7 linked regions of the Rattus norvegicus genome follow. The protein of the gene in region 6 purifies or fractionates together with the protein of the main gene of each other region. This does not show direct contact. Links are inferred from orthologs where the notes say so. Each region holds a gene or a part of one and is shown on either strand. Other genes may lie near its edges. The genes, in order: Prmt5, Map3k8, Kpna3, Cul2, Sp1, Rela and Btrc.

Region 1 (3,589 bases), on a different chromosome or scaffold from region 6:
CTGACATGGGTACTTGGGTATTCTGTTCTAAAAAGAACTGATGGTGCCAACCCTCACTTCCTTAGGTTTCCCAAAGCTCCTGGACCCTTGAGCTGCCCAATCCCTGCACTACCCCAAAAAGTTGCTGCTGTCAGAGATGTTAGGATAGGTGCAACATTTCACTGTACCAACTTCAAATTTTCTTCTGCAAAATGGACAATTACTCTGTGATTTTACTGGCAATCCATCTAAGGAAGGGAGAAGCTAGAAGCTCTTCTCATATCTCCAAGGTGTCTCTTTCCTAGAGAAATAGACAAATGAACCTAATGGACCACATGAGAAAAGCATACGCCCAGAGGTCCCGGGGCGGGGGCGGGTGAGGCTGGAGGGCTTGACACACGGGGACGGAACACAACATGAGCACAAGTGGGAACCTCACAGGTCACCACTGAGTACTTCGTGCTCTACTACTGAACATCCCCAGCTTCTGACCTCCTTGGGTCTTAGGCAAGGCAAGAGCACAGACCTCGGTGTGCTGGGATTGAAGTGAAGTGTAGGAAACAGGCAGGCGGCAGCAGGGGAGAGCAGCAGAGGCCGTAACTTCTCTTTATTTGTGTTTCCTTCTGACACAAAGCATCCAAACAACAACAGAGTAAGGCCAGGGGAAGGCCGCAAGTGTTCATGCACACTCCTGGGGCTCTCCCACAAGCCTCTGCCTTTTCTCCTGACCCCTGGGAAGCTCTGGAGGGTGAGCGCCCGCCGATGCCACTTCCTCCAGTGCTACTGAGTCCTCGTGCCCTCGACAGAGGCTTCTGAAAACTGCTGCTGGCTTGTGTCCTGCAATTCTTTTTTTTTTTTTTTCTTTTTTGGAGACAGGATCTCACTATGTAGCCCCTAGGTGGCCTGAAACTTGCTGGGTAGACCAGGCTAGCCTTGAACTTAAAGAAATTCACCTGCCTCTGCCTCTGGAGTGCTGGGATAAAAAGTATGCACCACCATGCTTGGCAGTCCTGGAATGCCTACCCCCTGGCCACCATGACATAGGTAGAAAAGCAGACTGAATCGTTCCTCGCTGGCAGGTGAGGGTCTCACAGATGAACTGAACCAGTAGATGTTCTGCACCTTCTGTGCTACAGGAAGAGAACTCAGAGCTGCTTCCAAGGCTCTGACGCTGTGTGCAGGGCTAGAGGCCAATGGTATAGGAGCGACCAGTAGGGTTGTGAATAGAAGAACAGACTGGCGCTGTCACCGCCCACTCGTACCACACCTTCTTAGAATTGCTGCATCGCCAGAAACGCACACAGATGTTCTGGCCTTCATGCACCGTGATGGGCTGCTGTAATAGGAAAGACACAGAGGCTGGGGTTGAGCTGAGGAACTATACTTGACAATGTTGGGAGGATAGACGGGGATTAGATAATCAACAGCCAAGTGTGGGGTACAAACCTATAACCCTCAAACTCAGGAGGCTAGGCAGGAGGGTCAGGAATTCAAAGCCAGCTTGAATATAATCCCAAACCCTTTCTCAAAACCAAAGACAAATATAGTAAAATATTCTGACCCTCATAAGACGTCCCTACTCGGGGCTGGAGAGATGGCTCAGCGGTTAAGAGCACTGACTGCTCTTCCAGAGGTCCTGAGTTCAATTCCCAGCAACCACATGGTGGCTTACAACCATCTGGGATCCAGTGGGATCTGATGCCCTCTTCTGGTGTGTCTGAAGACAGCTACAGTGTGCTCACATACATGAAATAAATAAAATCTTTAAAAAAAAAAAAAAAGACGTCCCTACTCTGTCAAAATATGGACAGTGAGCAAGGACACAGTGAGTGCTATGAGCATGTACAGGGAGCCGCGAAAGCACTTAGGAGGAAGACAGCCTATTCTAGGAGGTCAGGAAAATGGCCTGATTGCAGATATCCCAGGAAACCTGGTCAGTTGGCAGGGTGAAGGCATGAGCAAAGAACCTCACAGGCAAAACAGAGGGGACTAAAAGCTAGAGACATCTCCTGGGAGGCAGAAAAAGCCACCAAGCCAACTCTTACAACATGGTTCCAGGGTCTCACCTGAGGGCAGTGGGAAGGCACTGAGGGGCTTAGACAGAAAGGCCAATTCAAATTAAGTGGTAAAAAGTCAACCCTCTTCCAGGTAAAGACTGGACAAGAGTGGTTGGAGATGTGGGGAGTCCAGGGAGCTTACTTGGGTAACCCCAACCAAGACCACAGAGCAAGTGACAGAACAGAATGTGGGTCACAGCCAACTAGCTGAGGGACAGGAGCAGAACACCACTGTTATCCCTCAACCAACCATCTTAGAGGGGACTCCTACCTTGATGGGGAAGAAGATGGGGAACCATGAGAACATGCCAGGAGAGTGGGTCTCTGGGCGGATACCTGTGGAGACAAAGTAATGAAAGACTTGAGGTCACCACTGTCCCTCTTCCTTACCTTGAGAAGTCTCTTCTGTGGTCATAAAAAATCCTAAGAATCAGAGACCTCTATTCCTGGACTCTGGACTCCCCATGAAATTACTGTGCCGGGCTGACAGTAACCTCAGCTAGTGTTCAGCTAGCAATCTCCATGGAGGAGAGAACACTGTGAAGCAGCCCCCAAGAACTGAAATCACCAGTGCTCTAATGAGCTCCCAGACACTCACTCAGAGTGATGTCCCGGTAAAGCACAGTTTCAAAGTAGCCTGCAAAGCCATGAAGCACCGTGTTCACCTCCACAGGAAACTCCAAGGTACAGTAGCGGTTGTTGTCAATCATAGGATCTGTCAGGAAGGACATGGATGGATGACAAGGGGCCAAAACCCCTCAATGACTTGGCAAACCTGAATAGGCTCTAGGACTGCAGGACCTGAGACCTAGACTTGGGAAGCTCGCACCCCCTCAGTCAGAACAGCCATGCATGAACCTACCTCGGTTGGGATGGCTGAAGGTAAAACAGGGCTGAGGAGCAGAAAGCTGGTGGAAGTTGTGCAGCCGAACCACATAAGGCATCTCAAACTGTGCCTGGCCAGGGTGAGAAAGCAACAACTTCAGGAGACAGAAGACAGACAGACAGACAGACAGGAGGCACCACTTCCCAGAGAAAGCTGGAGTTCCAGCATCAAAGAACGAAAACATCGTTTTACTTCACCCTCGTTCTTCAATCCCAGCTCCTCTCACCTCTTCACTGGCTTCAGAGGAAGACAGGAGAGCAGACTGAAGGATAGTCCCTCCTCCTAGAAAAGCAGCTCTTTACCTCAGGGTCACGGTCCTTCTCCCGACAGGCGCGGACCTCGTTGTACAACTTCGAGGAAGAAATGGGAGCCAGGAAGGAGGTGTATTCTCCGGGGATGCTTACACCATCATCTGCAGGACAACAGGGTCAAATCAGTTCCCAAAGGGAGGGGAGAGGGCATTTTTTGCACCAGCTGAAGGCTCAAACAACAGAACAAGCCAAGGCTGCTAGGAACACGGCTGGAGGACAGGATGTTGGATCATCGGAATTCTACTCTTAGGATGTTAGAGCCGTAAGTAAAGGTAAAAAAACACCCCAAGGGGTTGGGGGTTTAGCTCAGTGGTAGAGCGCTTGCCTACAAGGCCCTGGGTTCGGTCCTCAGCTCC
Region 2 (3,646 bases), on a different chromosome or scaffold from region 6:
GCTGTGTGTAAGCATGTTTCTAACCTCAGCACCTATATTTCCTGACAGGTAATCAGTCCCCAGAATGGTCGCTACCAAATCGACTCGGATGTTCTCCTTGTCCCGTGGAAGCTGACGTACAGGAGCATTGGTTCTGGTTTCGTTCCTCGGGGGGCCTTTGGAAAAGTGTACTTAGCACAAGACATGAAGACAAAGAAAAGAATGGCATGTAAACTGGTGCGTGCAGCCACACCGTGTCCCTGACTTCCTGGCTTAGGGTTATTTACCCTTACACTAGGTCTTACCTACGGTTCCTACCCCAAAGTGTCTGTCACTTCTGGAGTGGCTTGTGGCCCGGGACCATTCAGCTCCTACATCTCTACTTAGGTGTCTTGTAGCTTGCAATCTAATTAAAAGAACATTTTGGTGTGTATGGCAATGGCTTAGATAACACCATCTCCCTTAAGTGGGAGTAGCGGGAGCTTGCCCGAGATGGAAGATATTGGCTGCTGTCCTGTGGGGAGGGGTACATGGCAGGCAACAGAGACTAGGAAGACAGGGTGTTCCTCGGGACTACAGAGTTATAGGGCTGAATTCAATTGTACCAATTGCCAATATGACCCCATCTCTTGTTAAGCAATGACTGTTTAAAATTAATGCTTCAATACTTCAGCGCACTCCTGGGCAGGCTGACAGCTAAGAATGTACACATCTGGAGAGGCCCAGTAACTCACTGCCTAATGACAGCCAGCAGAGGTGTGTCCACTTGTGGGACTATTCTGGGCTGTTCGTTTGAGCACTGTTTGCCACGGTAGCATTCTGAGAGCTATGCAGGTGCTGACAAGTGAATGTTTATGGTCTGGAACACTTGATCACAAAGAGAATCTTCCTGATGGAGGCCTGAACTTTTGTGGGATATAGAGATGGGTGAGCGCTTATCTTCTAGGCTTGAGTCTGAATTGATCAAGGGACCAGTGACTTCTTCATATTATCACACAGTGAGGGGGAAGATTGGGAAACAGATTGTTCTAGGAACCATGGAAGTGAAGGGTGTCCATCATAGGAAATTCTTACCTCAGTCACCATTCTGGAACCTTGTTTGGATTCCTAAACTCTAAATAAAGTGAGTTTTTCCCTACTTTGTTTTTTAATGTTTGAAAAAGTTCATATCTAAGGATGACACGATATATGTAGAAGTGGGTCTGTGGTAAACATTTCTTGACACCACAGTGCCCTGTCGTACACATCAAAGTGTCCTTGTGTTATTTTGGCTTCTGGTTTTTGGCTTGAACTATATTGTCTGATATTCGTTGGTTTGTTTTATTGTCCTGAAGTTGTTTAGACCCTTGCCCCTGTTTTGTGTTGCTAGATCCCTGTAGATCAGTTTAAGCCATCAGATGTGGAAATCCAGGCCTGCTTCCGGCACGAGAACATTGCTGAGTTATACGGTGCGGTCCTATGGGGCGACACTGTCCATCTCTTCATGGAAGCTGGCGAGGGAGGGTCTGTCCTGGAGAAGCTGGAGAGCTGTGGGCCCATGAGAGAATTTGAAATTATCTGGGTGACAAAGCACGTTCTCAAGGGACTTGATTTTCTGCACTCCAAGAAAGTCATCCACCACGATATCAAACGTGAGTAGTGGTGTCTGCCTTGTTGCTGTTTCATGGGGCAAGTGAGATGCTTTGACCCGAACACACTCAGCAGCAGACACAGATTCCTTTTCTGTGCTCCTGAAGAGGCTCACAGAAGGAAGGCCGATTGCTAAGAACATTAGCAGTCAGAAGGGAGGCTGAGGACCAGAAACCGATACAGGGATTATGACCACGTGTCTCTTGGGTGCGTGCTGCCTCTGTCCTTGTATTGTGATTTAAAAACAGTGCAGAACTGAGGGTGCACCTTAGTGGTAGATCTCCTGCTTCCCCCATAGGAGGCCCTGGGTTTGATTCCCCCCCCACACAGAGAGAGAGAGAGAGAGAGAGAGAGAGAGAGAGAGAGAGAGAGAGAGATTATATAATGCAAGCACGTAGGCATATATTTTTGAGTTAATTTTCTCTTAATTTTGAGCCATAATTTGGCAATAATTCATTAAACATTCTCTTTAAAAAAAACCAAATTGTTAGAACTCGGATATAGTATAAAATAAAACAGAGAGACCCACTATAAATCTTTAATACTTAATGCTGAATTGGACATACACAGCTTTGGTCAGAAAAACATATTTATTTTTCTAACAACAGTAGCTTGTGTATGTCTTAGATTTCGAAGCCGAAGCCTTGAGCTTTCCTGATGGTTGTAGCTCCTATCCACCCACACTAGGTGGGTTCCTGGCAGGCCTCGGGTGGTTTCCGCTGACCTCCACCCTACTCGTCTCTTCTGGGTTGAAGGCAAATATCATTATCAGAAGCATTTCTTTCTGTTTTGACTGAACTTGCTTTTCTAGATGAGGTTTTCCTGTTGGGTTAGTTGCATTAACTCACATTAAAAACCCCTCTCATTGCAGCTAGCAACATTGTATTCATGTCTACGAAAGCTGTGTTGGTAGATTTTGGCCTGAGTGTTCAAATGACAGAAGATGTCTATCTCCCCAAGGACCTCCGGGGAACAGAGGTAACTAATTGTATTGGTGTGAAAATTGTTACTGTCTTGTTAAGAATAAAAGTGATGGTCTGGAAATTCTGTGGCAAACAGCAAGGAAGGGGAAAAAATGACAACATTGAATGATCTTTGTCACCAGAACAAACTCATTTTACTTTTTACCTTTTTCTATTTATATGACTTTAAATATGCATGGTTATATTTATAGACATTATTTATTACTATGTTTATTTATACAACACAAAGCACTTGCAGCCAATCCAGTGCCAAAATGGAGAACTAGTTGAGCGTTCCTAATCCAAAAGTCTAGAAAGCTAGGCAAGAGAGAGGTTGCTGAGTAAAGGCAACGCAAGCCTGAGGACCTGAGTTCAAATCCTGAGAACCCACACAAAGCCAAGTGTGATTGTCCCAGTGTGACTGTGGGTAGATCCAAGTAGACAGAAGTCTCCCCCAAGGCTCACAGGAGAGTAGCCTGGAATAGAGGGCTATGAAGAAGAGATCCTGGCTCAAGATAGAAAGTATCACATGTGCAGTGTTGTATATATTACATACACAGACAGACATGGTGAAAATGAAGCCCACAAATATACCGAATATTCCAAATATGAACTTCCAAATCTGAGATGTTTTGGTTCTAAGCTTCTCAGGTAAGGGGTACTCAGAATTTAAAACTATAAAATTGTTAGAGAACAATAGTGAACTTATAGTTTGCTTAGTACTTTAAATGAATCATTTCTTCCTTAGAATTATTCTGTATAAATACTGTTGCTAGAGCATTTAGGTGACTGCTGTTGTTCTATTTTATAAAAAGACAATGGAGAGATTGTGGCATGGTGCCTGATGTGACCCAAGTTACCAGCAGAGCCTAAAGCTTGAATTCTTGGAGAAGAAGGATTTAGTTTCTTATTTTCTAAGGATTCGGGCTCTAAATTATGGGTAACTTTTTAAACGGAACTACCACATTATTACATATCAAATTATGATAACTACTGCAACCCAGTATGTCTTCCCTGCCCTGGCTGTTAGCATTTACTGAGAACTAGCCACCAATGCCTGTCTGTCTTTCATCACA
Region 3 (4,279 bases), on a different chromosome or scaffold from region 6:
CACAGCTCTCAAAGAATGCTGCCTTATTTTCCTTGTACCAGATAGATGACTGCATAATTTAAAAATGTTTTATCTTCTGTCTACACTATTTGTAAAGAAACAATAGCAAACACCCTAATAATCGCAACTACTTAATTATAGTGCTAACTCATAGTATGACTCAAATGCAGCACAGCTTTTAATGGGAAAAATAAATTTAATATGGCTGGCATCTCCTCTTAGTTCTGTTTAAAACCACAATAAAGACCCTAAATTAGACCAGACCCTAGATTACCCTTCCACTACATTTCTAGCATCCACCCACTCCCCAGAACCCCTTAGCAAAGCAGTCCCATTGCAGTTCTAGGAACTTCGGAAATTAGTAATCTTCAAATCACAAAAGCCTATCCCCTTCTTCGACCCTGCCCTTCCCCTTCCCCAGTTATCACCTTTTCATTTCATTCATTTGCTTATTTTTTGAGGTAGGGTGCCCGCCGGTTCAGGATGACCTTGAACTCCTAACTTGCCGCTATCCCAACAAGTGCTGAGATTACTGAGGGCGCACCAAGCTTTTCTTTGACTCTTCAGGATCAGCTCATTCCCATTTATCTGTCAGAGATCACTCGGACGCCATCTTTGTTTGCACTAGTCACCCAATAGTCACTTAGCAAATGAATGCTCTCAGATGTTACCAGCACGCTACAGAAACGTGCAATTCTATATCGAAGAATTCTTCTTGGGGTTGGGGATTTAGCTCAGTGGTAGAGCGCTTGCCTAGGAAGCGCAAGGCCCTCGGTTCGGTCCCCAGCTCCGGAAAAAAAGAACCAAAAAAAAAAAAAAAAAAAAAAAAAAGAATTCTTCTTCTCTAGTAAAGGAATGCACCACTTCTAAGTGGTGAGGATTAAATGTTCTTGGTATAGCACACCAATGTATAGTTCTTTGTGTCTGCCACAAAGAACTACCATTTGAATGCCTATTTCATGTCCTAGTTATACTGACATAGGCTTGGACATGAAATGTTGTAAACAAAACCCGACAAAATGGCAACTGTCCTTTTCATGTATCCACAAGCCACTTGTCACCTTCTAGTAAGCAGCAAGTAGTTGCTGTGGATCTATTACATGCAGAAGTCCTCACTAGTTATCATTTAACAAACAGGACACAGAACTCAAACGAATCATGACAAAAACTTACACCAACATCCAGAAAAGGAAAGAATGTACAAGCAATAGAGTATCCACGTAAACTATTCAGGTTTTGCTTACAGTAATAAGAGACAACCTCAAGAACAATTACTGGTGGGACAAAGTGTGGTGGCCCACACCTGTAATCCCAGCACGTGGGAGACTGAGGCAGGATTATTCTCTCTGCTTAACCAGCCTGCCCTGTAGTTAAAGCCTTGTCTCAAAAACAAAACAAATGAAAAGCAAGAGAGACCACACACACGCCACATACACATACACATACACATACACATACATACACACACACACACACACACACACACACACACACACACACTCTTACCAAAAAAACAGACTGATGGATGTTCCATTTGCTAGGTTTCACTTTTGTTTGGAATTCTCATAAAGAAACTTAAATGTGATCAGGGCAGAGATAGAAAACCTATAGTCTCACTCAAATGGGAATTCCACAGATATTCCCCCAGGTTCTTTCCAGTTCATAATTAATTTTGTAGCTCTGAAAAATGGTCCAGGTTCGTCTGCTTCTCAACCAAACCAAACCCTGTATTTACTAACTAGCCTCTTACCAAAGACTACTAGACTATACAAATCATATTACCTACTATTAGAATAGAGAAGAGGATATGGGCTCAAAACTATTTCCCCCATCAAATCCAGAGGTTGGGTCCCAGTGAAGTTTGTGCTATTACACTTCATTGGTTTTAGTAGGAGCAGAGAGACCTCTAGCGCTACCTCAATAAGCAGAGTTTGCAAATAGTAGCTGCTAATGTCACCTTAATGAGACAATGGCAACATGCTGAGTAGCAGCAAACTGAGTGACCACAATGAATGTTTACAGTTTTGCAACCACTTGGAAAATCTACTAGCTTGGTGGCATGTGGTATACACAAGGACGTAGGAATCTATGTATCCAATTTATTTCTGCAAAACAGGTCAAAGAAATTATTTTCCTATTATTCACACTTCCACTCCAAAACGTGCTTTAGAAAAAAAAAAAATCCCAAGATCAGAGGTCTGCACAACCTCCTTCCCAAAGCTTCAACACAATAGACGGTAAACTATTGTCCACCTTTAGCTCGCTCCAAATGCCAGCAGTCACAGGGGTATGAGCTGCAACAGCTCGGGAAGACTGGTCCAAAGGACAGCACTGGAATATAAGAAAATGGTCTTGGCGCATCCTACCCTCCCCCATCCACCACCCTCAAACAAGTCAGTTACCCGGCTGGTCCCCACCCCCCTCTGAGGGCTGCCACCGCCCGCCTGGGCCCGGCTCGCACAAGGTAAGCGCGGGGACCCAGGCTCCATGTGCGGCAGCGCGGGAGGCTGCACCGGCTGCGGACACGAGCGGCGGCCCGGCCCCGGCGGTGCGGTCGGCACGCGGGGCGGCAGCATCCCGGTCCGTCCTCCCGCGCGGCCCGCGGACCCCGCCTCGGCTCCACATCCCTTCCCCTCCGACGCCAGGCCGCGCCCGCGCAGCGGGGCCGAGCGCTCAGCGGTCCCAGGTGCCGCGCTAGCCGCTCAGAGGGCGGCTGCTGCCCGGGCCGCGGCGCCCCGAGGCGGCGGCCAACTCCGACTGACCGCCAGCCGGCGAGAGCCAGCGGCCGCGGGCCCCCGCCCCTCCCCGCCCTACCCAGCCAGCCGCGGAGCACACTCGCCTCCACATCGCGGCCCTTGTTCTTGAAGCTCTTAATGCGGTGGTTCTCCAAGCCGGGGTTCTCGGCCATGGCTGCGCGCGGCTCCGGAGGCGGCTGCTCCTGCGGCGGCGGCGGCGGCGGCGGCGGCGAGTCGAGCGGGAGGGGACGGAGGGGGAGGAGCGCGCGCTCCGTGACGCTTGGAGCGCGAGGTGGCCGCGGCGCGGGGGCGGCGCTGAGGAAAGGCGCGCGCCGGAGAAGGCCGGGGCGCTGGCCTGCCGGCTGTCGCGTTGACCCTACCCTCACCCCTTCGCCGGGCCTCCCCACAGCAGCTAGTCATGTGCTAGAAATGGAGCCCGACCTAGCAGCTTTTACCGCCACCCCTGAAGCGGGGCGGAGGGCGCAAACTACAATTCCCAGATTGCCAGGCGCGGGTCTGAGCCACGGTGTGAGAGGACGAGAAGCATGCCGGGAGGGCTGTGCGCGCGCTTTCGGCTAGGCGCTCTCTGAGCGCGGGCTCGAAGCCCCACCTCTGGGCGGGCTGGTGGGCGGGGCAACTCTGGAGATGGCACCTTGCAGCCTATCCGGAGAGAGAGGCGGAGCTCCGGGGGCGCACCTTGCTTTCTACAGCTTCGAAAATTAGAAAAAGAACGGCCACGCGTGCTTTGCGCTTTTGGCTTCTTTAGGGTCTCCTCAAATAGCAGCCACCCTCAAACCCTGTTCTCTGCTTTGCTTCGGTTTTATAAATAGCACGCTTGTTTCCACTCCACAAATACATGTGAGTGTGATGTGTGTGTTTATGATTGCTTCCTGCACCCGCTATTAAACTCAATGAGAAAAGAGACACTGTTGGTCTCAAAAATCTGTCAGATCAAAACAGTACCTAGTAAATTCTGATTTTAAAAAAAAAGTGTTCTAGCATCCCCTGATTTCTCCAAGCATCCTTGTGCAACCTTCACTTTGGCAGCCCTACCTTTCTATGACCTGATGCTTTAGTCTACCTAACACAATGTAGCCTTCAGGACCTAAGTCTGCAGACTCCAGATTGTCAACTCCCTTTAGCTTCCTGTTGGAACAATAACAGTTTTTTTGTTGGTTTTGGTTGGTTAGTTGGTTGGTTTTGTTTTTGTTTTTACAGCAAGATAACCTTATTAGATTATATATGAGTATTACATTTCAGAATTGTCTTAATTAGGGTTTCTGTTGCTGTAAAGGGACACCATAATCATGGCAACTCTTATAAAGGAAAATATTTCATTGGGGCTGGCTTACAGTTCAGAGGTTGAGTCCATTGTCATCATGGCAGGAAGTATGGTGGTATGCCCGCAGACATGGTGCTGGAGAAGGAGCTGAGAGTTCCACATCTCAATTTGCAGGCAGCAGAAGGTGACTGTGTCCACAAGGGACCTAACTTGAGCATAGGAGACCCAATGTCCACCTCATATTTCCTCCAACAAAGCTATA
Region 4 (3,646 bases), on a different chromosome or scaffold from region 6:
CAACAAAAGCACAGAAAGAAGGAAAGGAAGCCCTCCCAGGGCACCACTTTCCCTTTTCATGCAGCCTTCAGAGTTGCTGGGCATAGCTCAACCTGCAGCACCCGTGCACAAACGAAGGTGTGACATCCGTGCTGGAAAGGGACAGGGTCATGGGGCTGGCTGTCCAGCTAGCGTACACCCTAGGTCCCACAACAGACTCTGAAACCCTTGAACAGTAGCTAAGGTAGACCTGGCCTTCATTTGTACACGAGTGTGTATACTCCTTTATGTGGACACTTACACATTACATACTGGACAGAGGAAGAGAAATAGCTAAACTGTGGTGTTAGATCCGACGGCTGATCCTCAGCCACCTGTGTGCTTTGCCTGCTTCTGGTAACTAACCCTGGGCTCTTCTCTTGTTTAGGCCCTTACGTCTGTTGTAAATTACAGAGAACCCAAGTCTGTTTGCAAAGCACCTGAACTGGTAAGTGGAGTTGCTTAAAGGTAACTGACTTTCATGCGCATGCGAAGTCAGTAAAGGGAAGTTACTAGAATGCCAAATTAATTTGCTTTGTGTATTCTTTTCAGAATATGAAATTTGTCTGCACACACACACACACACACACACACACACACACACACACGCATGCACGCATGTGTGTATGTGTATATATATATATACATATATGTGTGTGTGTATATGTATGTATGTATCTCCAAATTTATGTTCAGAATTAGACCATGTGCCCTTTTTTAGCCAAAGGAGAAAATATTTCATAAAGATGATGATCTTGTTAAAAAGGCATGTGTACTGTTCATTATAGCCACTAACTGCTGATTAGGCTTTTTTTTTCTTAGAACTAAGAAAAAGTGTTTTGTGTTTTTAAAACTTAGCTGATCATGCATGTTTTATATTCATAGTTTTCGAGTGTAACCTTAGGGTGTGACAGCTTACAGCAACTGTCACACTTTTGCCGTGCTTTTGTCCTGTTGCTGATGACTTCCCCGGCTTGTTTTCATGTTTATGCCCTTACATCTGTTCTAAGTGACATACTTAGGGTGCTTTGTGTAAGGGTCTGTCCGAAGGGGCCTTTCTAATTTTATTACCACTCTCTCTTTGAGCTTGCTAAGTACTGTGACAACTTGCTAAAGAAGTCAGCAAAGGGGATGACGGAGAATGAAGTAGAGGACAAGCTTACCAGCTTCATCACAGTTTTCAAGTACATCGATGACAAGGACGTCTTTCAGAAGTTCTATGCAAGAATGCTAGCAAAACGTCTAATTCACGGGCTGTCTATGTCTATGGATTCTGAAGAAGCCATGATCAATAAATTAAAGGTAACATAAATCTTTAGTGTCATAGAAATCATTGTACCGACAGCCAAATACGCTCACTATATGGAATGGCTGCATACCTCACAGTAGTGCGGTCGCTGTATACATAGAGCGGGGCTGCATACGTCGTCAGACATGAGCGCATTTGTGCACTGTGTGCAGTGTTAGTATGAGACTTACAATGATTTAGGATGATCTCAAAGTTCTGTATTAATAATAATAATTAACAAAAAAACCCCAAACAGTTCACCCCTGGCTGACCGTTTTCAGTTTATGTTATACGCTCTGCATCTTGTTTTCCAGCAAGCCTGTGGGTATGAGTTTACCAGCAAGCTGCATCGGATGTACACAGACATGAGTGTCAGCGCCGACCTCAACAACAAGTTCAACAATTTCATCAGAAACCAAGACACTGTGATCGATTTGGGGATTAGTTTCCAAATATATGTCCTTCAGGTATGACAGGACTTTCTTTTTCGATTTATGAACCATTTTGATAATGTGATATAAAAGGTTAGCAACTGATGCTTGCTCATGTTTGGTTAGCTGTTGAATTGAGGACCACACCTACAGACTTGGAATAAAATGGGTCCTGCTAGTGAGAGCCATAGCACTGTAGAATTCCAAGGAAGAACGGGTGTCCCAGCAGCTGACGCAGCTTTTGAGGTAGACATCTGTTGACCATTTTTATCTCACTGTTTCTTTCTAGGCTGGTGCGTGGCCTCTCACCCAGGCTCCGTCGTCCACATTTGCGATCCCCCAAGAGTTAGAGAAAAGTGTACAGATGGTAAGTGTGCAGGGAAGAGGACGGTAAACAAAGGCCTGGCAGTGACTCCTTGTGTATGTCTGTGTGTGGGTGGTGTGTGTATGTCTGTGTGTGGTGGTGTGTGTATGTCTGTGTGTGGGTGGTGTGTGTATGTGTGTGGGTGGTGTGTATGTGTGTGGGTGGTGTGTGTATGTCTGTGTGTGTGGGTGGTGTGTGTATGTGTGTGGGTGGTGTGTGTATGTCTGTGTGTGTGGGTGGTGTGTGTATGTCCGTGTGTGGGTGGTGTGTGTATGTCCGTGTGTGGGTGGTGTGTGTATGTCCGTGTGTGGGTGGTGTGTGTATGTCCGTGTGTGGGTGGTGTGTGTATGTCCGTGTGTGGGTGGTGTGTGTATGTCCGTGTGTGGGTGGTGTGTGTATGTCCGTGTGTGGGTGGTGTGTGTATGTCTGTGTGTGTGGGTGGTGTGTGTATGTCTGTGTGTGTGGGTGGTGTGTGTATGTCTGTGTGTGTGGGTGGTGTGTGTATGTCTGTGTGTGGGTGGTGTGTGTATGTCTGTGTGTGGGAGGTGTGTGCATGTCTGTGTGCGTGTGGTGTGTGTATGTCTGTGTGTGGGAGGTGTGTATTTCAGCTTGGGGTCTATCTGTGATACATAGTAACCCTACAAGCTCTTACTAAGCACCTGTCCTGTATAAGGTCTGACATTTTAGGAGAGCTTGGGGATAACAAGGTGGATGGCTCAGTGGGTGACGGCACTTGCTTGGTGAAGCCTGACAGGCTGGAGTCACTCTTCACAGCCTACGTGGTTGATGGAGAAAACTAGCTCCCACGAGTTGTCCTCTCATACTCACATGTGGCCCTAGCATGAAGAACACACCACCATTCCAAATACATACCTACACAAGTAAATAAATAGAAGAAAGAGAAAGCTTCAAAATCATTTTCCTTTTCCAGTTGAACTTTGAGGCCATGTTTAGGCTTCATTTAGTCCTGGTAATATTTCAGTTTTCCTGTAATTGAGGTAAGTGTTCTGTATAAGCTGAGACACCAAAACATAATATGGAAGCTGCATGTGGGACAGAAATCCTAGAAGACTGACCTGCTAACAGGTTGCCTGTGGGTCCACATAGGCCCATAAATGAATAAATACATAAGTATGTTTTTAAATTAAAAATAAAATGAAATAGTAAAGTGTGAGCTGGGGCTGTAGCTCATGGGGCTTTGGGCTCCACGCCAGCACAAATGTGTCTTAGGACTGTTGTCTTTTATATATTCAGTCCAGGCAAAGAACTTTTTAAATTCCTAAGTTTTGATAAAATATTTTTGATATTTAAAATATTTTGATAAAAGGTTTTTTTTTTCAAGATTTATCATGTATACAGCAGTCTCCCTACATGTATGCCTGCAGACCAGAAGAGGGCACCAGATCTCATTATATATGGTTATGAGCCACCATATGGTTGCTGGGGACTGAATCTCAGAAGTCAGATGAGATTGTGGGATCCCCCGGATCTGGGGTTGTGAGCAATTTCCTGTGGGTTCTGGGAGCCGGAAAGTCATTTGCTGCT
Region 5 (4,223 bases), on a different chromosome or scaffold from region 6:
AGGTCTGTCCTGACAATGGTGCTGCTTGGAGGGCCTGAAGAGCTTGTCCACCTTGAACTAGCTGAGGCTGAATAAGAATTTGTTGTTGCTGTGTCTGCTGACTTTGCTCTCCCTCTTTTTGCTGACTTCCTTGCAGTGATCCTCCTGATGTCTGGTTCTGCTGGATGTTTAGAGAATCAGACCCTTGCAGCCCACCAACTCTCTGGGATGTCTGGCCTTGAGAACTAGTCCCTGATGATCCGCTGCTGGTAAAGTTCATAATTCCCATGTTGCTGGTGGTGGTAGTTGTTGAATAGCTGTTGGCATTGGTGAAAAAGGAGCTGGAACTGGCTTGTGATGACACCAAGCTGGCAGAACTGATGGCAGTCCCTGAGGTGACAGGCTGTGAGCCACTCTCCTGGGATCCAGAGCTGCTGATCGTGCCTGCCTGAGAGCTGGGAGTCAGGGTAGCTGCAGAAACGCTGTTGACAGGTAGCAAGGTGATGTTCCCATTCAGGGCCACTGGTACATTGGTCACATACTGAGTCTGTCCTGAGAGCACATTATTAGCAAGGCCTTGGAGGGGGACAGCTTGCTGGAGTAGATTTGGCATAGCAGCAATAATGTTGCCCCCACTTCCTCTATTTGTGATGATCTGTTGATTTGCACCTGGTATGATCTGTATTTGACCAGAACCATCCTGCTGCACTTGGGCCCCAGTGGCAGCAAACTGCAGCTGTTGCCCATCAACAGTCTGGAACTGTGGGATTACTTGATACTGAATATTAGGCATTACTCCAGGTAGACCTGTCAGAACTTGCTGGTTCTGTAAGTTGGGGGTAGCAGCCACAACATACTGCCCACCAGAGACTGTGCGGTTCTTGGAAGACTCACTGCCATTGCTGCCATTGGTACTGTTGCCACTCTGTTCCTTTGAGGTAGGGGTAGCCCCAGAGGAGGAAGAGATGATCTGCCAGCCATTGGCACCCTGTGAAAGTTGTGTGGCTGTGAGGTCAAGTTCACCTGTGCCCCCTGACTGACTCGGACCCTGGGAGTTGTTGCTGTTCTCATTGGGTGACTCAATTCTGCTGCAGGTTGCTGCCAGCAGAGCCAAAGGAGATGGCTGGGATTCCTGGCCAGAAGAGAGGAAAGGAGTTAGTGGCACCCAATAGCTGGCCTAGGGGGCAGTATTCAACAGACAAACAGCAACAATGCAGGCATATAAAGAGCAAAAACCAGAAACAAAATGCTAACTTCTGTGTACTGTTCCAACTTTCCTATTTGGGGACCCTCTAGATCACCTATCTTTCTGTGTGTACTTCCCTACTGTACTTTCTCCCAGAGTTTTTGGTTAAGGAGGTTTCTAAGAATACTTATACCCTTTCAATACCTTCCCCATCTTTGATCACTCACCTGCCCTCCTCCGCCACCACTGCTGCTGCTACTGCCTGTGCTGCTGCTTCGAGTCTGAGAAAAGGCGGCACCACCACCGTTCCCGCTACCCCCGTTATTGCCACCAACACCTTTTTCAATCTTCACAGCTGTCACTTCATCCATTGAGTGATCTTGGTCTAAAAATAATTACAAAACAAATAAGTTGAGGGGGAAAAACATTAAGATTTAAAATTAACGTTTTGACCACCAGCAATGACTAATAAAATGTTTTTTTTTAAAGGTATTAGTCAGATACAGCTAGTTATGGTGGTAGGCCTAAAATCCCAGTATTTTGGAAGTGGAGACAAGAGTTCAAAGAAATTCTCAGTTACACATTAAACTGAGATGCCAAAGCCATAGGCATGCAGAGCAGGCACATGGCTTAATGGTGTCCAAGACAGGTCACTATTTTCCCAGGCATAAATTAACCCCAGAAATGACTCAAAAATTGCTTTGGAAGCCAGGCATGGTGACTCACACCTATAATCCCAAGACTTGGAAGGATGAGCCAGGTGGTTCTAGGTCTGCCAGACCTACAGAGTAAGAACTGATCTCAATGCAAACAGCACTTTTGAGGGAATTTGAGAGCAGTGTCTCAGAAATTAAAAAAAAAAAAAAAAAAAAAGTGGGGCCTAGTGATGGCACACTCTAATCCCAGCACTCAGGAGGAAGAGGCAGGCAACTAGGTAGCTAAAAGTTTGAGGTCTGCATAGTAACTTCGAGTTACTACGAGTACCACATAGACCCTATCTCAAAAAGAAAAACAAAAAAGCATCCTGGAAGGAAAAGGAGACCCAACACATAGGTGGATGGAAAGTGGGCTAAAATTAGGACTAAAAGAGATGGAGACAGATTAAGTGTAAACAAAAACAGGAAGGGGCCGAGAAAGGGTAAATTGTAAGTGGAGGTGAGGAAACATCTGAAGAGGGCAGGTAAGAGGCTAAAATGGTTTAGGGCTTAGAACCCAGGTTTGGGGCTGAGGGGCCGGGCCATAGAAGGAAGGGGCGGTTTCGGGGTTAGGGGCGTGGCAAGGGCGGGTCGGATGGGGGAAGGGAAATTTACGGGGGTGCGGGGGAGGGCCTGGAGCAGGCTGGGACCGGAGGGCGGACCGGGGAGGCGGTTGGCCCAGGCGGGGCCTGCACTGGTCGGGCCGCCCCCGCGGCGCCAGCCCCCGACAGGAGGAGCCTCAGGCGGCCGGCCGGGTAGTGGGGGGTAAGGCCCGTCCCCCGTGGCCGGGGCGGGCAGGGGGCGGGCGAGGCCAGGCTGCCCCCTCCCCCGGGGCGGGTAGCCCATCCCCCTCCTCCTCCGAGGCCCCGCCACTGCCCCTTCTCCCTCCCTTCCCTCCGCCCCGGGCGGGACCAAGGCCGCCGCCGCCGCCTCCCGCCCGCCCCCCCTCACAGCGGGGACCGCCCGGTCGGCCCTCGCGCGCGCCCCCTCACTCCCCTCCCACCCCTAGGCTTGGAGTGGACTCATCCTTACCGCTCATGGTGGCAGCTGAGGGGCGAGCTCAAGGGGGTCCTGTCCGGGGGGGTTGGGGGGGGCCGGGAAAAACGCGGACGCTGACGAGGCAAGCGAACCCGGACCGGACAGGGAGGGGGGGGTAAGGAGGAGGGAGCAGCGCGCCACAAGCCCGGCCTAGTCCCCGCCCCTTATCTGCTGCCCCTCCCAATGAAGGAGGGTGAAAGGAGGGACTTGCAGAGGAAAGGCGGGCAGTCTACCCAATGGCAAGACTCGCTCTCTCTCTGAGGCGTGTAAGACCAAGTTGCGTGCCTGGTTTCCGCCCAGAAAGGCCGCCCTCTCAGTTTTAACAACCAATTAGAGACTCGGGAAGTGGTGATGGGCGGGATGAGAAGATGGACTTGCAGAGAAACCAGTCAACCACCAGGCGGGCTCCGTGAGCGGTGGGGATAGGAGGAGATTAGGTAAGAAAGACAGGACAACGACCAACCAGAATCTTGGGCATGCCTGGGCAAAGTCCGTTTAGGAGAAGAGTAAGAAATAGGCCGGAATAGGACAGGATCAAGCTTTCTAAACCAATCAGAATTCAGGCGGGCAGTTAAGAAAGTTCTGATTGGACAACAACTGAAAAGAACCGGAACAGGGCTCATATTGACGTGAATGAACAGCCAATTAAACGCCGAGTAGAAGGTGAAGGCTGGAACTTGGAATGGGGAGAGGAGAACAGGCTTCCCCCTCAGATACTCAGGCCAATGAGGCAGCGAAAGCAGCCTGGCACCGCCTCTAGCTTTGGCCAATAGTCGTTAGAGGGCCGCCCCTCATGAGGAGGGAACCGGGCTGTGCCAAGTGGAGTTGGTCGCCATGTTGGCCCTCCTCAAGAGGCTTCTTTTCCTCGTTAGGTGGTACGCTTTAGCGGAGCCTTGCAGTTCCACAAGTGTCAGCGCTGAGACGCGCGAGGGCGAGGGTGTCGCGTCACCCGGGACCGTTCGAGTTTTCCCTTCACCGCTCCTACACAGCACCTCTCGAATGTCACCCCTGCCGGGATGGGCGGGCGGCTCCCCCTCGCCGTGGGTGGAAGCCCTGTGGCGGCGGGCGGGACGACAGCTTGGTGACGGCACACGAAAACCCAAGTCCACTGAGCTGAAGGCTTTTGGGAAGCTCTAGCAAACGCCATTTTCTTAAGCTGCCCCAGACACGCTAAACCACGGGCCAGGCAGGGTTCACTCCCATCACTCGGCTTTGAGAATGACGCACTCTGGAGAACTTCGTGAAGCCAAGCTCTCAAAATACTCAATTTACCCTCCTAGTAGAAAGCACGGTAACCTACTTTTGCAATCAAAAAGGTTAGAGAA
Region 6 (4,092 bases):
AGAGCTTCCTGTGAGCTACTAATGTTCATTTACTGCTGTCTAGCCTTATCTGGTTTCCTAAAGTCATGAGCACAGTTCTTGGCACACCAGCATCTCAACACAAGATATGGAAAACAGTCACTTCCCATCCAACTCCAGGGCATCCTGCAAGCTTCCCACAGAGGCAGCTCTGGGTCTTCTCTGCCCTGCCCCCTGCAGCAAGGCCACACCCACCCCAGCCCCATTCTCTTCCCAAGCCCACCCTCTCCCCTTACTGCAGCTGGCCACTTACGGTTATCAAAAATCGGATGCGAGAGGACAGGGGTCAGGCGGAGGGGCCTGCCTGATGGGTCCCGCACTGTCACCTGGAAGCAGAGGCGGACCGCATTCAAGTCATAGTCCCCGCGCTGCTCCTCTATGGGAACTGTCAAAAAAAAAAAAAAAGTGGTGGAAGGCATGGGGAGGGCAGGGAGCTCTGAGGGAAGAGGAAGGTGATTTGAGGATATATAAAACAGAAGTCTAAGGGGAGGAAGACAAAATCCTAGACCCATCACGGCTCTACTGGGACCTGAATACACCACCCCTTTCTAGGCCTGACTCTCAACGGTAGCATGTGAGTGTGTACCATGCTGGCAGCGAGGTTCCACTTGTACTGTTGGGTTGGTCATGGAGGGTGAGGAGCGCCAGAGGCCCAGGGAAGGTGGCAGAATGTGCACCACAGGCAGGCTATGTCCTGCCCCTTGCTCCTACCTTGAAAGGGGTTATTGTTGGTCTGGATGCGCTGGCTAATGGCTTGCTCCAGGTCTCGCTTCTTCACACACTGGATCCCCAGGTTCTGGAAGCTGAGGCCTCAGGCATTAGTTCTGTGTCTCCAAAAGAACACCCTCTTCCCACTCCTCAGCTCACAGCTCAAGGCTTCCCACTGTGCTACAATGAACCCACTCCTTACCCACTGGCGAGTCTCTGAGGGACCTGGCCCACACCAGCCCCCAAGTCAGTGTCCTAGCCTCAGCCACAGGGCCTTCCTGTCCCGTCCCTGAGCACACTAAACTTAGTCCCTTTTCCAGGTCACCATACTTCTTTCTTGTGCATGCAATGTTCTTTTGGGCTTGTCTGCTTTTTCTCACCATTTGAGTGTTAGCACAGAGGCCTTCTGCAATCTTCCAACCCAAAGTCATGAGACCTACGTAACAGGACATGGTGCTACGCGCCTATTACCCTTGGAGTTGAGAAGAGGAGGTAGGTGAACCCTCATGAGTGCAAGGCCAGCTTCAGCTATATGAGACTCTGTCCCTATGCCACGAGACCAGCCTCCTCCTCCTTCTAATTTATTACTGTGTTTTCTTTTCATCATGGAAATTATAATTCTCCACTAGTATCTTTTCTATCTGTTTGTACAACTGTCCCCTGGTTTTACCAACTGGTATTTAAGCTCTAGGAGAGTCCATTACGGACTTTCTGATACAAGAGCCTAAGGGACTGGGCTATCCAGTCATAAAGGATCTGTCGCTCCAAGATAAAGAGTTCCCATCTGTTAGCGAATTTAAGACAAAGGGGGTCTGTTTGCAGACCTGGGGACAGAGCAAGGACTCTGGATTCTGCCAGTGTTTAGAAAAGTGTAACTTTGTAACAGCTGCCTGGCCCAGCCTGCTCTTACCCTGCCCCCTACCTACCCTGACCTCACACTACCCCCAGCCTATCTATTCAGACTCACCTGTGGATGCATCGGTCTGGGCAGAGTTCAGCCTCATAGAAGCCATCCCGGCAGTCCTTCCCCACAAGTTCATGTGGATGAGGCCGGTGAGGTGGGTCTTTGGTGACCAGGGAGATTCGAACTGTTCCTGGTCCCGTGTAGCCATTGATCTGTCCAAAGTACAGAGTACTTTAGAGGCCAGCAATCCCAAATCTGGCTCCTAGACACGGGGCGCGGTGGCAAGGAGGCAAGTCTGCTGGGGCTCCACAGTGCCTTCCACCACATCTGTGTCCCCACCCCGACACCCCTGGGGGCTCTTGCTTACCTTGATGGTGGGGTGCGTCTTAGTGGTATCTGTGCTTCTCTCCCCAGGAATACTGCCTGCAGAGCGGCCCTCGCACTTGTAACGGAAACGCATGCCCCGCTGCTTGGGCTGCTCAATGATCTCCACATATGGCCCAGAAGCCTGGGCTGGCTCTGTGGGTGATACGGTCAGCCATTAGGTGCTGCCCCCATGGCCCCTACTCCAGGACAGCCCCTACCTACTGAGGAAGGATGGTCCACTTACCTGAGGGAAAGATGAGGGGAAACAGATCTGAAAGGGAAAGACAAGGCACACTGTCAATAAACTCCAGTACCCACCCTCACCAGGGAATGCCTCCAAAGGAAACTGAGCCAAGATCCTAAGACCTGCCCTGAAAGAGGCCAGGTAAAGAAGGCAAAAGCATCTCTCTACTAGAGAAAAGGGGCACAGAGGTATTCCTTTGCCCGGGGAAACTGAGTCAGAGCCTGTTTTACGTTCATAAGTGACACTGAGGAAGGGTTCTACCCCCTCTCCTTTTCGGGGGATACTGAGTCAGATACTTTCTCCCTTACACGGAAAGGAAGCCAGAACTAATCGCATCGACACAGTGGGTGGGGGGGGGAAGCCGGAGGAAACTGAGTCAAGATTCACCCGTACTCCCACCCAGGAGGGACATTGAGTCAAGGCGCCCTCCACTGAGAGGGGCAACTGAGTCAGACCCCTCGCAGCCCGCCCCGCCCCGTGCCACCATCCGGCCTGCCGCTCCCTGCGCAGCAACCCGCGGCGCAGAAAGGGGCGGAAGACGGCGCGAGGGGGATCCCGCCGCAGGTCCCGGAACTCTAGGGCAGCCGTCCCGCGGGCCAGAGGGCAGCCTCACCGTCCATGGCCAGGGTCCCGGGGGCGGGGCCGGGGTCGCAGCTGAGCCCACGGCGCGCTAAAGCGAAGCCATTCGCCAGAGGCGGAAATGCGCGGCGCGCGCCCGTCGTCGCGTCACTGCCCGGAATCCGGCCGCGCCTGCGCGCTGCGCCGCCGCCACCGACGCGCGTGGGGGCCGAGAGCAGGTGCGCAACTCACGCTGGGCGCGGAAGGTGTGCGGCGCGCGGGCGGGGACACCGGAGCGCGGCGGTAGGACGCCGAGGCTATTCGTCCTGAGGCCCGCCCGACTGCAAGCCGCTCCCGGACTACGCAGCGCGGTTCGCTCCGTGTCCGGGCCCCGCCTGGAGGGCGGGCCCGCGATTACTCACTCTGTTTTTAGGGGATTTCGGGTCCCGTTCCCCGCCCCGCTCTGATCTCAAGAGTTTGGTGATGTCACCCTGGCCTGGTCTGGAGCAGAGCCCGGGCTGCTGGCAGGCTGCGGCCATTCGCCCTGCACAAGGAGAGGCTCAGGCCTGCTGCTTCCGCGGAGCACAGTGACTGAATTCCACACGTTTTCCTACTCGTGCAGGGCCTTCTGGGGACCGCCGCGCGTTACAGGCCATATGCTCCCAACCTAGATCCGGCTGCGCGCAGGAGTGCTTCCCAAAGCATGCTTCATCAAGGCTTGACTGAGGCCTTGGTGTAGAGGGGACCGAGGTAGACACCTGTACCTCTAAGAGTCCCTGAGAGCAATGAATGCTGGAAGAGCTCCAGGGCTTCGCCTCCACAGATAGGTCCTGTCTGCTAAGGTTCAGATCCCTAGGGATCTCCGGAGCTAGCCAGGGTCACACCACTTGAGCATCTCCTTGAAGGCCTCCCAGGAGCCTGAGCTCCAGTGATGAAAGCTTTTGTAGGGAGAGAAAATTGCCATCTAAGCCAAGGGCGGGTGTGCAGATTGAGTCTGGGGACACTGGCTGGAGGAATCAACACATCAGGCTCCCTCCACAATGCCAGAAGGAGGAGGCGGGGTGGGGGGCAGAGGAGGCTTTAGCACATGGAGAAAGACTTATTTTCTCTAAATTAGGAAATCATGTGGGAATTGGAAAAGATTGGAAATTCTGACTTCTTTCCCAGGCTCTGAAAAAAACAGGAAGACAAAAGTGAAAATAGTTACCGCCCCTCCCACTCATTTCAGTTTCTCACTTGGCGCAGATTAGAAAAAGCAGTTTAATGTTTTGCGGGGGCGGACATCAAGGTGACA
Region 7 (4,446 bases), about 42 Mb from region 6:
CATAAATCTGATTAAATGTCAGGCTCCTATTCAGAGTCAACCCTCTAAACTGGAAGCAAAGCCCAGCTCTCTTCTGAATTACAACTCAAAACTGGTTGAGGGAGATAAAAGCAACCTTGACTGATTTCCATCCCCTCCCCCAGGATTTCAAGGTCTCTGCTGATTTGCCTGTTTGTAAACAGACTGAACTCCGGATCCTTCTGCCTCTCTCCCAAGTGCTAGGATTACAAACATTCGCCACCACACGTAGCTTGTTTGTTTTGTTTTGTCTGTTTATGGTCTTTTGAAGCAGGATCTAATTCCATGAGTAGCCCAAGCTGGCTTTCACACTGGCAATACTCCTGCCTCCTCCTTGTCGTCCCCATTCTTGTCATCTTCCTCTTCCTCCTCTTCTTCTTCTTTTTTCTATTTTTGAGAGAGGTTCTTTATATGTGCCTCCAGCTGTCCTAGAACTCACTATGTAGACCAGGCTGGCCTCAAACTGAGATCTGCCTACCTGCCCAGGTGTAGGCCACCTTGCCCAGCCTGCCTCAGTCTCAAGTACTGGATAATAAGTATAATCCCAAACCTGGGGTCTGTTAATATTTTAGAAGGGCAACGCAGGACAGAAATTCAAGAAATGTCTTTAGGCTCAGTAGAATTTTGTGAATGACAAACTTGTGTTTCTGAAGGTACTAATACAAAGTAATTTTTTGTTGTTTGTTTTTTAGAGACAGGGGTTCTCTATGTAGCTCTGCTGTCCTGGACTCATACTGTAGACCAGGCTGGCCTTGAACTCAGAAATCAGCCTTGCCTCTGCTTCCCAAATTCTGGGATTAAAGATGTGCGCCATCACAGCCCGATTAAAATTTTACCTTTTTAATATATTTTTTATTTTATTTTTTAAGATTTATTTATTTATTGTATCTATGTGAGTACACTGTTGCTGTCTTCAGTCACACCAGAAGAGGGCATCGGATGCCATTACGGATGGTTGTGAGCCACCATGTGGTTGCTGGGAACTGAACTCAGGACTTCTGGAAGAGCAGCCAGCGTTCCTAACCAATTAGCCATCTCTCCGGCCACTATTTATTTATTTTATGGGTATGGATGTTTTGTCTGCATCTATATCTGTGCACTACTTGTGCGCCTGGTGCCCTGGGGGTCCAGAATAGGGTAGAGGATCCCTTGAGACTGGAGTTACAGACCTCTGTGAGTAGCCATGTGGATGTTGAGAATCAAACCTTCATCCTCTAGGAGAGCAATGGTCTTAACTGCTGAGTAATCTCTCCAGTCCCCAAAATAAAAAGTTAGATTTGACCGGCTTCTATAAATATGAATGGGGCAATTTAAAACCTAATTTTAACTAAGTTAGTATCTGTTTGTTATGGCGTCAAATTTGTTATGGCATTTTAGGCAAAGACACACACACAAAAGAACCTATTCAACAAAGGAATGCTATTTGAAATGATGGGTTACAATTACTTCTGAAAAAAAAAAAACAAGACTTGATTGAAAATAATACAATATTCCTAAGATCATCCGTTCAGTTAAAAAAATAAATTAATAAATCTATGCATCCCAACATTCTTTAGATGTAACTAGAGACTGGTTTACACCTAGGATATACAAGGAAGCATCAGATTAAAAGCATCAAATATCAGACTAGTCAAGGCTGCCAAACACAAGCACAGCAAAGGACAACCACCATACAAAGTTAAAGAAATAGGGCCTAAGGGGTTTACACACACCCTAAAAACGCAAGGCTCACTCTGTACTTCAACCTAAAACTCACGGGCAACACCAATCCTCACTTACCTCACCTTCTCTACTCCCTACATCCGTCCTCTAGAATTTCTTCACATCTCTTTAACATTTCTCCAAGGCCTTTCCTCTCACAGAAAGTGATACAGCACCTGGCTTCCTCCACATTTTACTACCTCACCACTGAAGGCCCAAGTCTTGTTTTGCCTTCTCTTATTGGCTATGAATCTTGTCCCCGTTCACCTGTAACTACATTTCTTTCATCGCTTTGCCCTTATCACAAATAATTCTGCCCCTCTTCTTCAAAACAGAGCACATACCTCCTTCCTGATATGGGTGATTCTAGCTGGTAATCAACACTGTCTCTCCCAGGAACTGTCACCATAGCTCTAGGTCTGAGTCCTTATCTTCTTAAATGAGGCCTCTTCTAGAGTTTGCCAACATTAGTTTGGTCAACTGGGATTCCACCCTTAGCCCTTAGGCAAAGGCTATCTTCCCAGCTCATTCTACAAAACTACTTGCCTCCCCAGCCTGGGCTTTCCCTCCTTCGCCGTTAAACCCATCAGTTTACAGTCCTGCCCAGTTTCCCCCTTCCCCCAGTGCTTGCCCTGCCATTATCCTATCTCTACTATTCCCTACTCCTGAATGCACCTCCTTTCCCAGGCCTTACCCGTTACCCTGATACCGGGAAGGGCCCTGCTAGCGTCTACAGGCGTTTCTCCACCCGGGTTCCTCCGCTCTTCAGTAACTGTCCCCACGCCCCTTTCCCTCTGGGGGCCCCGCGCGCCGCCAGGAGCCCCCACCTCGAATGAGCTCCCGCTGTCACTTGGCTTGTCTTCCACAAGATGGCGGAGCTGCTGCCCCCACCTCAGGGTCCCCTCTGCACCCTCCTGCCCCCTCCCCCAAGCTCCGGTCCAGTCCCTCCCTCCGCCTCGCCACCGGCCTTGGCCCCAAGTCCCACTGCCCCCTCCTGCGGTGAGCGGGTGACCCAGGCCTAAGCTCAGCGACGCGCCAACGCTGCCGCCTCCACTAGTCCCCTGCCCACACCATCTCCTCACCATAAACTTGAGCGCTTTCTCCTGCAGCACCGCCTCTGCCGGGTCCATAATCGCCCGGGCTACTGGGTCTGCTCTCCGCCGGGGCCGCCCCTTTCGTGCCAGGCCGCAGCCAACGCAGCGCCCGGATCCCGCCTCCTCTTCCTTCCCCCGCCCTCTCTTTACCTCCTGGCACTGGCAGGGTACCCCTCCGAGGAGGACCGAGGCTCTGCGCGTGCGCACTCCGCTGCCTCACGGGACGTGTAGTTCTGGAGGCTCGAGCGGCAAAAGGCGAGGCCACGCGGCGAACCCCAACTCCCACGGGTCACTGCGTAGAGTCGCGGCTGTGTGCAAGCCAAATGTAGCGCACTCGAGAGCCCGGAGGGGAAGTCGGCTGACGGGAATCGTAGTTTCCAGCCTTTAAGAAGGCAAAGCCGGAATGTCACCGTGGTTACCAAACGACGCCAGTGGTTGCTTGCCTGGCATTTGATAGCAAGATGGCGACTAGTGCTTCCTCTATATTCCAAATACTGGGAAAACAGAGAACCCAGGGTCCTTGGGCCTCCCTAATTGTGATTTTAGAGAACGAGTTCATACATAGGGCATCTGCGGAAAGATTGAGACCTAGAGACTCTGAGCCTAGTGTGCATGTAACAGCAGCCTCAACAGCAATGCAAGATTACGAAGTCATCCTAAACTATTATTACCTCTCGTTTCTGAAGAGCCTTTTCTCTCCCAGAGCTAGCCAGGGACAGATAGAACTCGCTCCAGGAAACCTTGAGTTTAGTGCTCAGAATGTATGACTAACTTTGCTAACCCTGAGATCTAAGTCCTGTGTTACATCAAGCCTAAAAGTAGTGTCTATGACCATAAAAGCCCAAAATGGGCCGGGTGTGATATCACATGCCTTTAGTTCCAACACTTGGGAGGCAAAGGAAGAGGCAAGTAATCTAGTGAGTTTGTGGCTAGCCTGGTCTACAGAGCAAGTTCCAGGGCAGCAAGAACTACACTAAGAAACCCTGTCTTGAAAAAAAAAATTAAAGAAAAGAGAGAGAAGATGGGGCTGCAGAGACGGCTCAGTAGATAAGAGTGCTTCCCGTGAAAAGACAACGACCTGAGTTCAAGTCTCTAGCACCCATATAAAAAGATGGGTGTATGGGCTCAGTGGTTAAGAGCACTTGCTACTCTTGCAGTGAACCTGGGTTCAGTTTCCAGCACCCACATGATAACCCACAGCTACTACTGTGCCTCACCCGGAGTAGATTTTTAATTATGGACACCATGTTCTATAAACATCATAGGCAGGAACAGAGGTTGGTTGGTTGGTTGGTTGGTTCTAGGTTGGTTGTTTTGTTTTTGTTTTTGACTTTTTTATTTATTTTGTGTATGTGTAGGTGCACATGGCTTGCGTAGATCAGGGGGAAGCTGCTGAGTTCGAGGTCTACAAGGTCTACATTGGAAGTTCCAGGACATCCAGAGCTACATAGTGAAACTGGGTCTCAAACAAAAAAGTTATTACCCTTCTTCCACAGTGTAAGCCCCAGAGATCAAACTTAAGTAATTAGGTTTGGTGGCAAATGCCTTTACCCACTAAACCATCTCACTAGACCAACTCTGACAGAAGGCAAATACACTTACTCTACAGGTTACAGGGAGACCAATTAGCCCA

The links.
Region 1: the proteins of Rela (region 6) and Prmt5 purify together in Homo sapiens (affinity purification with western blotting; 3 studies listed by BioGRID). This does not show direct contact. The link is inferred for Rattus norvegicus from reciprocal best matches to the Homo sapiens genes RELA and PRMT5.
Region 2: the proteins of Rela (region 6) and Map3k8 purify together in Homo sapiens (affinity purification with mass spectrometry; 5 studies listed by BioGRID and IntAct, with this or other methods). This does not show direct contact. The link is inferred for Rattus norvegicus from reciprocal best matches to the Homo sapiens genes RELA and MAP3K8.
Region 3: the proteins of Rela (region 6) and Kpna3 purify together in Homo sapiens (affinity purification with mass spectrometry; 4 studies listed by BioGRID and IntAct, with this or other methods). This does not show direct contact. The link is inferred for Rattus norvegicus from reciprocal best matches to the Homo sapiens genes RELA and KPNA3.
Region 4: the proteins of Rela (region 6) and Cul2 purify together in Homo sapiens (affinity purification with western blotting; 3 studies listed by BioGRID and IntAct, with this or other methods). This does not show direct contact. The link is inferred for Rattus norvegicus from reciprocal best matches to the Homo sapiens genes RELA and CUL2.
Region 5: the proteins of Rela (region 6) and Sp1 purify together in Homo sapiens (affinity purification with western blotting; 7 studies listed by BioGRID and IntAct, with this or other methods). This does not show direct contact. The link is inferred for Rattus norvegicus from reciprocal best matches to the Homo sapiens genes RELA and SP1.
Region 7: the proteins of Rela (region 6) and Btrc purify together in Homo sapiens (affinity purification with mass spectrometry; 3 studies listed by BioGRID and IntAct, counting the BioPlex papers as one, with this or other methods). This does not show direct contact. The link is inferred for Rattus norvegicus from reciprocal best matches to the Homo sapiens genes RELA and BTRC.

The regions. Positions count from the first base shown.
Region 1 is NC_086033.1:31,938,373-31,941,961, forward strand, and holds the end of Prmt5 (protein arginine N-methyltransferase 5), read right to left. Parts: intron 3,335-3,589; coding exon 3,225-3,334; intron 2,993-3,224; coding exon 2,899-2,992; intron 2,752-2,898; coding exon 2,635-2,751; intron 2,373-2,634; coding exon 2,308-2,372; intron 1,316-2,307; coding exon 1,163-1,315; 3' UTR 555-1,162; downstream 1-554. UniProt on the Homo sapiens protein: Arginine methyltransferase that can both catalyze the formation of omega-N monomethylarginine (MMA) and symmetrical dimethylarginine (sDMA), with a preference for the formation of MMA.
Region 2 is NC_086035.1:58,088,074-58,091,719, forward strand, and holds part of Map3k8 (mitogen-activated protein kinase kinase kinase 8), read left to right. Parts: intron 1-48; coding exon 49-216; intron 217-235; exon of another isoform or gene 236-1,102; intron 1,103-1,348; coding exon 1,349-1,610; intron 1,611-2,479; coding exon 2,480-2,586; intron 2,587-3,646.
Region 3 is NC_086033.1:39,783,213-39,787,491, forward strand, and holds the start of Kpna3 (importin subunit alpha-4), read right to left. Parts: upstream 2,916-4,279; 5' UTR 2,909-2,915; coding exon 2,840-2,908; intron 2,833-2,839; exon of another isoform or gene 2,377-2,832; coding exon of another isoform or gene 2,254-2,376; intron 1-2,253. UniProt on the Homo sapiens protein: Functions in nuclear protein import as an adapter protein for nuclear receptor KPNB1. Binds specifically and directly to substrates containing either a simple or bipartite NLS motif.
Region 4 is NC_086035.1:58,870,611-58,874,256, reverse strand, and holds part of Cul2 (cullin-2), read left to right. Parts: intron 1-406; coding exon 407-466; intron 467-1,104; coding exon 1,105-1,320; intron 1,321-1,620; coding exon 1,621-1,773; intron 1,774-2,026; coding exon 2,027-2,104; intron 2,105-3,646.
Region 5 is NC_086025.1:135,418,764-135,422,986, reverse strand, and holds the start of Sp1 (transcription factor Sp1), read right to left. Parts: upstream 2,938-4,223; 5' UTR 2,900-2,937; coding exon 2,893-2,899; intron 2,749-2,892; exon of another isoform or gene 1,892-2,748; intron 1,551-1,891; coding exon 1,393-1,550; intron 1,112-1,392; coding exon 1-1,111. UniProt on the Homo sapiens protein: Transcription factor that can activate or repress transcription in response to physiological and pathological stimuli.
Region 6 is NC_086019.1:212,353,165-212,357,256, reverse strand, and holds the start of Rela (transcription factor p65), read right to left. Parts: upstream 2,922-4,092; 5' UTR 2,861-2,921; coding exon 2,854-2,860; intron 2,268-2,853; coding exon 2,241-2,267; intron 2,150-2,240; coding exon 1,998-2,149; intron 1,843-1,997; coding exon 1,694-1,842; intron 822-1,693; coding exon 730-821; intron 404-729; coding exon 272-403; intron 1-271. UniProt on the Homo sapiens protein: NF-kappa-B is a pleiotropic transcription factor present in almost all cell types and is the endpoint of a series of signal transduction events that are initiated by a vast array of stimuli related to many biological processes such as inflammation, immunity, differentiation, cell growth, tumorigenesis and apoptosis.
Region 7 is NC_086019.1:254,157,860-254,162,305, reverse strand, and holds the start of Btrc (F-box/WD repeat-containing protein 1A), read right to left. Parts: upstream 2,943-4,446; 5' UTR 2,850-2,942; coding exon 2,802-2,849; intron 2,768-2,801; exon of another isoform or gene 2,547-2,767; intron 2,494-2,546; exon of another isoform or gene 2,414-2,493; intron 804-2,413; exon of another isoform or gene 1-803. UniProt on the Homo sapiens protein: Substrate recognition component of a SCF (SKP1-CUL1-F-box protein) E3 ubiquitin-protein ligase complex which mediates the ubiquitination and subsequent proteasomal degradation of target proteins. Recognizes and binds to phosphorylated target proteins.